3 linked regions of the Drosophila melanogaster genome follow. The main gene of each other region encodes a partner of the protein of the gene in region 2 in a complex. Each region holds a gene or a part of one and is shown on either strand. Other genes may lie near its edges. The genes, in order: Ada1-2, Spt20 and Ada1-1.

What was found.
Region 1: Spt20 (region 2) and Ada1-2 share a complex: the UniProt entries of both Drosophila melanogaster proteins name them as parts of the spt-Ada-Gcn5 acetyltransferase (SAGA) complex.
Region 3: Spt20 (region 2) and Ada1-1 share a complex: the UniProt entries of both Drosophila melanogaster proteins name them as parts of the spt-Ada-Gcn5 acetyltransferase (SAGA) complex.

The regions. Positions count from the first base shown.
Region 1 is NT_033779.5:11,991,121-11,994,590, reverse strand, and holds Ada1-2 (transcriptional adaptor 1-2), read right to left. Parts: upstream 1,690-3,470; 5' UTR 1,599-1,689; coding exon 799-1,598; intron 735-798; coding exon 608-734; 3' UTR 537-607; downstream 1-536. Other genes in the region: CG18789 (uncharacterized protein), read left to right, coding at 1-525; escl, read right to left, coding at 2,117-3,016, 3,072-3,261, 3,320-3,470. UniProt on the Drosophila melanogaster protein: Component of the transcription regulatory complex SAGA, a multiprotein complex that activates transcription by remodeling chromatin and mediating histone acetylation and deubiquitination. The SAGA complex predominantly acetylates histone H3.
Region 2 is NT_037436.4:13,500,905-13,504,659, forward strand, and holds the start of Spt20 (Spt20), read left to right. Parts: upstream 1-1,802; 5' UTR 1,803-2,444; coding exon 2,445-2,480; intron 2,481-2,551; coding exon 2,552-3,493; intron 3,494-3,551; coding exon 3,552-3,755. Other genes in the region: Tgi (Tondu-domain-containing growth inhibitor), read left to right, coding at 1-310, 379-1,151. UniProt on the Drosophila melanogaster protein: Component of the transcription regulatory complex SAGA, a multiprotein complex that activates transcription by remodeling chromatin and mediating histone acetylation and deubiquitination. The SAGA complex predominantly acetylates histone H3.
Region 3 is NT_033779.5:11,994,979-11,998,518, reverse strand, and holds Ada1-1 (transcriptional adaptor 1-1), read right to left. Parts: upstream 1,711-3,540; 5' UTR 1,616-1,710; coding exon 816-1,615; intron 752-815; coding exon 625-751; 3' UTR 554-624; downstream 1-553. Other genes in the region: Qtzl (quetzalcoatl), read right to left, coding at 2,276-2,517, 2,576-2,705; CG18789 (uncharacterized protein), read left to right, coding at 3,202-3,278, 3,334-3,540. UniProt on the Drosophila melanogaster protein: Component of the transcription regulatory complex SAGA, a multiprotein complex that activates transcription by remodeling chromatin and mediating histone acetylation and deubiquitination. The SAGA complex predominantly acetylates histone H3.

The sequences.
Region 1 (3,470 bases), on a different chromosome or scaffold from region 2:
GCCCAGGCGCAGGTTCAGGTGCAAGCTCAGCCAGTGAATCCTAATCCTTTCGGTGGTTTCCAACAGCAGCAGCAGCAACCACAGTCGACGGGAATCTTTGGCCAAGCCGCAAGCCAAAATATGGGCGGAATGTTTACTCAGGCTTCTCAGCAACTACAACAGCAGCAGCAGGCAGCTGCCTCCGGATTATTTGCTCAAGCAGCAGCATCTGCATTCCCTAATCAACAACAGATGCAGCAGCAGCAACAGATGCAGCAGCAGCAACAGATGCAACAGCAACAAATGCATCAGCAGCAGCAGATGCAACAGCAACAAATGCAGCAGCAGCAACAACAATTTCAAATGCAACAGCAACAGCAAATGATGCAGCAGCAGCAGCAGCAAGCTCAACCGACCAACGAAATCCAGTCCTCAGTTTACAGTCGCATGGAGGATCTCAACGAGCAGGAAATCGAAGCATTCAAGGCGGATCAATTTCTACCAGGTGCCTTGCCATTCAAACCGCCTCCACGGAATTTTTGCTGAACCAAACACTTAATGGTACACTAGCGTATAATGTATATATTTTTACAGAAGCTGATATAATAAAATAATTAGAACTTATAAGCTAATGCATCATCATATTGAGTCGTTCCATGTTTATAGAGTAGACGGCATGCGAGCCTATCAGGTTGCGATCCCGTAAGGCCAGTTGGCAGTCCTTGAGGGTGATTACTGTGCGTTCGGTGGGTTGGCTGAAAGAAACAAAACCTAAGTTTGTGTTTCACATGAAAATCTCATTATTATTCAGGAGCTTACACTTCTTCGCAGGCGGAGAGGAAGGTCACATCGTCGTTCTGTCGCCGCATAAAGTTGGCCGTATTCAGTTCCTTGTCCAGTTCCAGCGGCGTGTCGTCGACCTTCTGCCGGGTGACGGTGTTGCGCAGCGAAGGATCACGCAACGGAGCACCTACATCGTAGTAAAAGTTTCCCTCGCCGCTGGTCTTGTAGTGCTTTCGTTTCTTGATGATTGCCGATAGTAGATCCTTGAGCAGAACTTGCACGGCCATGGCAACGTACTCGGCGACATTGTCGTCCACGGAGACAAGTCCGATTTCCCAGGCACCGATCAGAAATCGTCCCATAATGAATCCCGCGTCGGGCAGGAAAAGTTCCTGCGCGCAGTACCGCTGCGACTGAAGCTGTTGCTGTTGCTGGTCCGACGGAATACCGATCGTGGTTGGCGGACGAATGATTTGCATGTTGTCCTCGGCTACAAAGTCCAGGACGTCGCTGAGCTCAAAATTAAGGCGTTCGGCGAAGGTGCGGGAACTTCTTTTGCGCCGTTTGCTTCGGTTGCCACTACTGCTGCTGGTCTGGACGGCCGGAGGATTCTCCAGGGGAGCAAAGGCGTCGATCTTGTTGAGCAGGGCGAGCAGGAACTGATTGTGCAGGTGCAGTTTGTCAGGTGTTAGGATTTTCCGCGACTCCGCATCGAATTCCTCCTTAGTCCAACGGCTCCGAAACCAATTCTTCATGTTGGCCCGGTAACGCTCCCAGTTGTCGCCCAGAGCCACCACTAGCGCCTCCTTGGTGGCCAGAACTCTGTCGGTAAGCATTTTAGTAATGGGAATAACAACTAAACAGGAAAATCCAACTGTTTGCGAATTGCTATATAAACAAATGAATGCAGCTGATTCGAGTGACCGTTCAAAGAACGGCTGAAAATACCAGATACATTTGAGATAAAAACCGTTATTTTTGAAGAACCCTTTAAAAAAATATTGGTTTTAATCTTTAGTGTTCACAGTTTTTATTGTGTACAAGTTAGTTAGTTAAAATATAAACATTAAAGATAGAGCCCACGCCATTCACACAACATAAGATGATAATATTTGCGAAGCTATTTGATCATTAAAAAAGTAATAGAATAGAATAAATATCTTGGTTAATGTTAAAAAATTTAACATAATTTAACATAAATTGTCAATACAATGAGTATTGTATATAAATGCTACGCATAATAACATACTTAATATTGAAGGTAAACATTACACTGAAAATAACTATGGTTACATAAATATGGTATCGGATTTAGAAGGATAAGGAAAATTCTTTTAGCCTAGAAACACTCATCCTAATTGACGCGATCCCATCGCCACACGGTGCTGTCGTCGCACACGCAAACTAAAATGGAACCGTCTTTGGAGAAGGAAGTCTGTCGGATGGTGGAGTTGCTTTTGGGATGAACCAGCTGGCTACACTTTGTTAAATTGGGATCATTGCAGTCCAATTCCCAGACAAATGTTGTGCCCAGTTGATTGCCCAAGGCCAGAATCTTTTGCCAGGCGTTGAAGGCGAAGCGTACGAACCAGATCTCGCACATCTTGTAGTCAAAGTGATGCAGCACCGTGGTGGCCGACTCCTGTGGCTTAATCTCATGCCACGATTCTGAAAGTTTGCCCGGCTTCCAGCAAACAATTGAGTTCTCGCAGGATTTCGAAAAGACAAAGTCGCCGAACCACTGAACGCAATCCACATAATTTCGATGTATATCCCTTGTCGAGAAGTCCGGAAAGTGCTCCTTGATCGTGGGAAACGGACCCGTATTCTTGTTGGGACTAAAACCAGAGCTCAGCTCGATGGCCTCTTTTATATCGGGCTTATCCAGTCGCCAGAGCTTCAGTGAGTGATCCATTCCACTGGACATGATGCGATCACCGCGCAAATCAAAGTCCACAGACAACACTTCGTCGCGGTGTCCTTCTACGCCGCCGAAAACCGCCACACACACGTCCGACTGAATGTTCCAAAGGCGCAGGGAGTGATCCTTGCTGCCGGACAGAAGTAACTGCGGTCTAGTCGGATGAAACTTCAGCTCGTTAATGGCGTGCCCGTGACCAATGTAGTTTTTGCTGCACTGGTGCTTAACCGGATTGAATATGCGAATGACGCCGCGGTAACCAGCCGCGGCAAGCACAGGATCGCCGGTCACAGAGTCGTAGGACCAAGCGCATGTGTAGAAACTTTCATCGGTCTAACGAGGGCGTAACGATGATGTATGTAAGTAATAGCATATGATGAGTACTTACATCTGGGTCTGCGTAGACTTGCAGCAGTCGAATGCCTTCGCAGGACTCCTGTCCGGTGCTCCTCTCGCACTCATAAATGGAAACCCGATCCTTGCCAACGGTGGCGAACACCTGCGGCTGGCCTCTGTCCAGGAACGGATTGAACTGCACTCCGAAGATCTGATGGTTGTGGTCCTCGCGGACATGGGAGCTGCAATGCATCCGGGATATAAACATTATGACTTATGTTCTGCCTGGAAAAATCACACCTATATTTGTACAAGGGCTGAACCATTTTGGGTGCCTTGATCCGCCGACACAGGCGGTTCAATTTTCGTGTATTTGGCGATTTGCTTCTGGTGGTGGTCGTAGTAGTGCTGAACAAACTGGCGGTGTCCTCCCGATCCACGGAATTAACTT
Region 2 (3,755 bases):
CGTGCGACGTCCAAGGTGCTGACCACCACCAAATGGCGACGCGAGCGGCGTCAGCGTAGTGCCGGATACCAGCCGCACGAGGCAGGCAACAGCGAGAGGGAGCGGGAACGGGAGCGGGATCGAGAGGATCGCGACATGGACAGTCCCATTGACATGTCGGTGACGACGGGAGCTCTGAAGCAGAGAGCCTCACCGCCGCCACCCTATCGCGAACCCTTGCCTGGGACCAACTACGCGGCCAACAGTCGACCCAGCGTCATTACCCAGGCTCCACCCAAGCGAGAACCACCGGAGCAGGCCCACTCTACAGGTGAGAAGTCATATATGCACATTAGTGTCAACGATCATACTAACCTGATGCTTTGATTTGCCTTGCAGATATGGCGATGTGCGACATTGACGAGCACTTCCGACGCTCACTGGGCGAGAACTATGCTGCCCTGTTCGCCAAGAAGTCACCGACGCCTACGCCAACACCCACGCCCTCGCCAAGTGGTACACCTAAGCAGCAGGTTTCGCCACTGGCCTACGGACTGCCTTCATCAACCAGCACAGCGGCATCGCAGCACTACCAGCAGCAACGCTCGCCGCTGGCCAAGTCGGGATGGGTCATTCTGGAGCCCGAATCGCTGCAGCCGGAACTGCCGCCGCCGCAGGAGGAACCGCTTCCCCTGTCGCTGGCACTGCATCGCACCCAAACGCCGCCATCGCCGCCACCTTCGGCCACGGGATCGGCACCAGCGCTACCCACGGCCGTCAGCCAGGTGATGGAGGCAGCGGTGGCGGGCAGGCGGATCCTGGACACGCCACACCACACGCCGCCGAGATACAACACACCACCGCCTCCACCGCCGGCTTACGGAATAGCCGGAACCACCGTTGTGGCGCCGACTTTGACACCGACACCAACTCCGAATCCGACGCCGTCGCAGATTCCCACGCCCACGCCCAGCATGCCGGCCATCATTCGGGTGAAGGCTGAACCGGGACTGGCGGCCGTGGCTGCCTCCTCGACGCAGACGCCGCCCGCTTCGCCCACCTCGTCCACGAATATCTCGATATTCACCAAGACTGAAGCCTCGGTGGACGACCACTTTGCCAAGGCGCTGGGCGAAACTTGGAAGAAGCTGCAGGGCGGGCACAAGGAGTAGAGGAGGAGCAAGCGAGCAAATCACCCACCAACCCGCACACAACCCGATCCCGATCCCGATCCCAATTCCCAACAGAACTCAACACAACCCAACCCAAAAGCAACCCCTGATCCTCAACGATTCAACTCAAGAGCTGTTTTTATTATAAATATTTCAAACTACACAATTAACGTTTAAAGATCTCATGCTGATGTGAACGGAAATTCTTCAACTGCGAGTGTATTACAAGTTTCTGATATAATGATTTTATTGAATATTGATAACGGTTAGCGCGCGGATATAATTATATATATATATATATGAATATTTACATATATATGGATAAATGTGTATGACAAAGTGTATACGTACAAGTGACAAAATTTTGTATTCTTAACGCTTAGTTGGTAGAGACTAATCCTTAATAATATACCTATTAAACATAAGTAAACAATCCTACAAAGTCTGTCTATTCATTCACCGAAAGTGGGAAATAAACTGCAAAATTTCAGATTTTGAATTGCATATTTTGAATTTTCAAATGACTGTTGGGCGGCTAACAGAGCGTTAACAGCGCGCGCCTAACAGCACACAGTGCATGGGCAGCCAATGTGCACACACCACTAACGGCAGACGGAACGGCGACAATGCCATTCACAGCGAACGATAACGATTGTTGGCATTCGCACGGCACGAATCGTACAGTACATTTACATTGCAAAAAAAAGCATAAAACAAAGTTTTAAAACAATTAAAAGCGAGCAATCCTCGGCGTATCATTAAAGAACCAGCCCACTGTTCGCCCCATAACCGCAGCAGAGCGCGCGACCTTGCAAATTCACGGAGCAGCAGCGCCAGAAAGAGAGTTCGTCGGCAGAGGGGCGCAGAGAGAAAATGTCACGCAAAGCAGCAGCAGCAGTGGAAGTGGAAAAAGAGTGAAGAAACCGCAGTAATCGCCATCGGGATCCGATCTCAGTGTCCTCCAGTGCAGCGATTCGTCACACAGACGGACCGAGGAGCACCCCAAAACGATCCTGATGCGGCACAGCCGAGTGCTGAGTGTGGCGAAACTAACCGATGGACAGCAGCAGCAGCAGCAGCAGCCAGCGAAAGTAGGAGACAACAACGGAGCCCTGCGTCTGCGGTCCTAGAAATTCGTAATTCGACGTTCACTGGCAACACGGACACCTGCTAGCGCAATGCGAATGCCGCCGATCCTGGCCAGGATTGTTCGTAGACTGGTGCTTGGATGTCGTCGGTAATTGGGTGCGCCATCCTCCGTTGGATCTCCCCTAGCAATCCGCTGGCACCACCATGCAAAGCCTGGACTCCTCATGCCAAGAAGCCGACGTAAGAACTGTGGCATTTTTCATGCAGCCTGAATACGATTAATTCCCATTTTACACTTTATTTTTCGACAGTTTATTATAAATGACACGCTCAAAAAGTTAAAGGGTTCCAGCAACGCGGACCATGTCCAGGGCCTAGCGGTCCACGCCCACGGTTCGGGTGTCCACCAGACGCAGTTCGTCCAGTACGGCACGTCTGGATCCTCGCCGCAGCTGCAGCCGCAGCAGTCCTACCATCAGCTGCATCCCACGCTCCAGCAGCAGCAGTTCGCCTCCTCGAGCAGCAAATCGTACCTGGAGACCAGCCTATTGCAGGCTATACCACAGATTCCTGCCCAGCCGCCCATTTGTATCTTCGATGACGACGAGTCCCCCACCGAGGGCACTGGCGGCTCACTGGGCAGCCTGCTCACGGAGCCGACCTCGGCCACGCCCAGCGGCCTGCCCACTGCAATTGCTCCGTCGCCCTCCTCGTGCTCATCCTCCACCACAACGATGTCGAACTTCAACTCAATCACGTCGCCGTCGCCGGTGGTGCCCGATCTTCTGCTGTCGACACCGCCGGGCGTTAACTCCAGTCTAAGCAATAGCTCAACGGGAGCGGCCAGTGTGTCCAGCAAGAAGTCCGAGAAGCGGCCACCCTCCGCCAACTCAACAGCCAGTGGAGGCGGCCACCACCTGCACCATCATCACCTCCACCAGACGCACAATCACCATGTCCTGGCATCGCCCACGTCGTCGCCCAGCAAGCGCCAGAAGTCCAATAGCAGTAGCAAGGAGAGCAGCTCCTCTAGTCGCAGCTCAGCTATACCCGCCGCATCAGTCTCCACAGCCACCTCGTCGTCGCAATCAGCGCGCGCTGGCGCCGGCGCTGCCTCCTCCAATAGCAACAGCAAGCCACCTTCATCCGTCTGCCAGTCGGGCAACAGCAAGTTCTTTAATCTGCACGAGAAAATAAGGGACCTGTACCTGCAACTGCTGAGCAACGACCTAAACTACTTTGCCGAGACAGGGGTAAGTGTTGAGCCAATCAAAAGCGGAAACCTTATGTAAGGACTCTTATCACTTTCAGCTAAAGCAGCGCACTCGATCCTTTACACTGGAGCGGTTGGTGGATCGGGAGAAGCTCAACACGATTGTGGTCAACTTGTATCCCGGCAATAAGGGATACTCGCTGGCCCTGCATTATGACGAGCACATGGTGCTAAATCCGCAAACAAACGAATGGTCCCCCACGGACAAGGACGAGACCTCGAGCGATGCTGCGGGATTGGGT
Region 3 (3,540 bases), on a different chromosome or scaffold from region 2:
AAGGGGGCAACATTTTCGCCCAGGCGCAGGTTCAGGTGCAAGCTCAGCCAGTGAATCCTAATCCTTTCGGTGGTTTCCAACAGCAGCAGCAGCAACCGCAGTCGACGGGAATCTTTGGCCAAGCCGCAAGCCAAAATATGGGCGGAATGTTTACTCAGGCTTCTCAGCAACTACAACAGCAGCAGCAGGCAGCTGCCTCCGGATTATTTGCTCAAGCAGCAGCATCTGCATTCCCTAATCAACAACAGATGCAGCAGCAGCAACAGATGCAGCAGCAGCAACAGATGCAACAGCAACAAATGCATCAGCAGCAGCAGATGCAATAGCAACAAATGCAGCAGCAACAACAATTTCAAATGCAACAGCAACAGCAAATGATGCAGCAGCAGCAGCAGCAGCAAGCTCAACCGACCAACGAAATCCAGTCCTCAGTTTACAGTCGCATGGAGGATCTCAACGAGCAGGAAATCGAAGCATTCAAGGCGGATCAATTTCTACCAGGTGCCTTGCCATTCAAACCGCCTCCACGGAATCTTTGCTGAACCAAACACTTAATGGTACACTAGCGTATAATGTATATATTTTTACAGAAGCTGATATAATAAAATAATTAGAACTTATAAGCTAATGCATCATCATATTGAGTCGTTCCATGTTTATGGAGTAGACGGCATGCGAGCCTATCAGGTTGCGATCCCGTAAGGCCAGTTGGCAGTCCTTGAGGGTGATTACTGTGCGTTCGGTGGGTTGGCTGAAAGAAACAAAACCTAAGTTTGTGTTTCACATGAAAATCTCATTATTATTCAGGAGCTTACACTTCTTCGCAGGCGGAGAGGAAGGTCACATCGTCGTTCTGTCGCCGCATAAAGTTGGCCGTATTCAGTTCCTTGTCCAGTTCCAGCGGCGTGTCGTCGACCTTCTGCCGGGTGACGGTGTTGCGCAGCGAAGGATCACGCAACGGAGCACCTACATCGTAGTAAAAGTTTCCCTCGCCGCTGGTCTTGTAGTGCTTTCGTTTCTTGATGATTGCCGATAGTAGATCCTTGAGCAGAACTTGCACGGCCATGGCAACGTACTCGGCGACATTGTCGTCCACGGAGACAAGTCCGATTTCCCAGGCACCGATCAGAAATCGTCCCATAATGAATCCCGCGTCGGGCAGGAAAAGTTCCTGCGCGCAGTACCGCTGCGACTGAAGCTGTTGCTGTTGCTGGTCCGACGGAATACCGATCGTGGTTGGCGGACGAATGATTTGCATGTTGTCCTCGGCTACAAAGTCCAGGACGTCGCTGAGCTCAAAATTAAGGCGTTCGGCGAAGGTGCGGCAACTTCTTTTGCGCCGTTTGCTTCGGTTGCCACTACTGCTGCTGGTCTGGACGGCCGGAGGATTCTCCAGGGGAGCAAAGGCGTCGATCTTGTTGAGCAGGGCGAGCAGGAACTGATTGTGCAGGTGCAGTTTGTCAGGTGTTAGGATTTTCCGCGACTCCGCATCGAATTCCTCCTTAGTCCAACGGCTCCGAAACCAATTCTTCATGTTGGCCCGGTAACGCTCCCAGTTGTCGCCCAGAGCCACCACTAGCGCCTCCTTGGTGGCCAGAACTCTGTCGGTAAGCATTTTAGTATTGGGAATAACAACTAAACAGGAAAATCCAACTGTTTGCGAATTGCTATATAAACAAATGAATGCAGCTGATTCGAGTGACCGTTCAAAGAACGGCTGAAAATACCAGATACATTTGAGATAAAAACCGTTATTTTTGAAGAACCCTTTAAAAAAATATTGGTTTTAATCTTTAGTGTTCACAGTTTTTATTGTGTACAAGTTAGTTAGTTAAAATATAAACATTAAAGATAGAGCCCACGCCATTCACACAACATAAGATGATAATATTTGCGAAGCTATTTGATCATTAAAAAAGTAATAGAATAGAATAAATATCTTGGTTAATGTTAAAAAATTTAACATAATTTAACATAAATTGTCAATACAATGAGTATTGTATATAAATGCTACGCATAAGAACATACTTAATATTGAAGGTAAACATTACACTGAAAATAACTATGGTTACATAAATATGGTATCGGATTTAGAAGGATAAGGAAAATTCTTTTAGCCTAGAAACACTCATCCTAATTGACGCGATCCCATCGCCACACGGTGCTGTCGTCGCACACGCAAACTAAAATGGAACCGTCTTTGGAGAAGGAAGTCTGTCGGATGGTGGAGTTGCTTTTGGGATGAACCAGCTGGCTACACTTTGTTAAATTGGGATCATTGCAGTCCAATTCCCAGACAAATGTTGTGCCCAGTTGATTGCCCAAGGCCAGAATCTTTTGCCAGGCGTTGAAGGCGAAGCGTACGAACCAGATTTCCGTAGAAATTGGTCAGATAGGGGAGCATAGCGTCCAATACACGTGGGTCCATTGGAGTGGTGGCCTGGGCATCCAGGTAAAGTGGTCTACCCTCGGTCTGTTCGTTCTTTATGTTGAATCGCACCTGTCTCTCCCGGAATTCTACGAACGAATACGATTTTGGTAAGCGGTAACTGTGCATCTTGGAGGATCCGCTTACCTTTGGATGTGGCGGCTGGTTTAGCCGCTGTCCTGGAGGAGGTGGCCTCGTGTCTAACCACATTGGCTAATGCATTCGTCGCCCGGGAGCGGAGGACCTGCGCCTGGATGCGTCCCAGCACTTTTTGCATTCTGATGGAATCCTAGAAATTCTGGTGTTAAAATTCGTTATCACGGATTTCACAATCAGTGGGACCGTATTCGGCGGCACGAGATATACCAAAGGACTCCGGAATTCACTTTAAAATTATCTGATTCGATTATGCAGAAGCAAGTTTCTGAATTTCTTTGAACATATGAAAAATGAATAGCATCTGTGCAAGAAACCAATATTTTTCAGATATATTCGCACTTAATGTATAATTTACAAGGAACTATATTTTCAAAAACCAGTTTTCATCTTAAATATGTTTGCTTACAAAATTATCTTAATCATTCAGCGAACTTAAGTTACGAATTCACGAAATTGCGCGCATAGGCACGGTATATTTTTCTCAGTGAGCCATAAAATACTCAAAGAATACTCAATACGCAAAGTAAGACAATTATAAACAAAAGTACAAAAGTTGAAGCAGTTTTGAAATAATAAATATAGGAAATAGGCAAAAATTAAAATCAAATTTAAATATGGTTGTCTGCCGGTTCTTTCAACAAGGCTCCTGCCGCTATGGCGCAAAGTGCAACAACGAGCATTTCGATGTTAAGTGAGTACATTGATATTAAAACTATGCAGATGAACTAATAACTTAATTATTTTAGGCAATATCTCAAAGCCGACATGGAATCCAGCCTCAATGGCAAGATGTGGCCTTTGTCCGCCTACGGACCCTTTAAGGACAAAGCGAATTTCCCCAACTTTATTCAGGACCAATCCTTCGAGGAGGTGCGGTTCATGTGTTACGAGGCCAAACGACAAAACCAATTCGAACAGTTCAGCCAACAGTTTAACCGTGAGGTCCTAGAGGC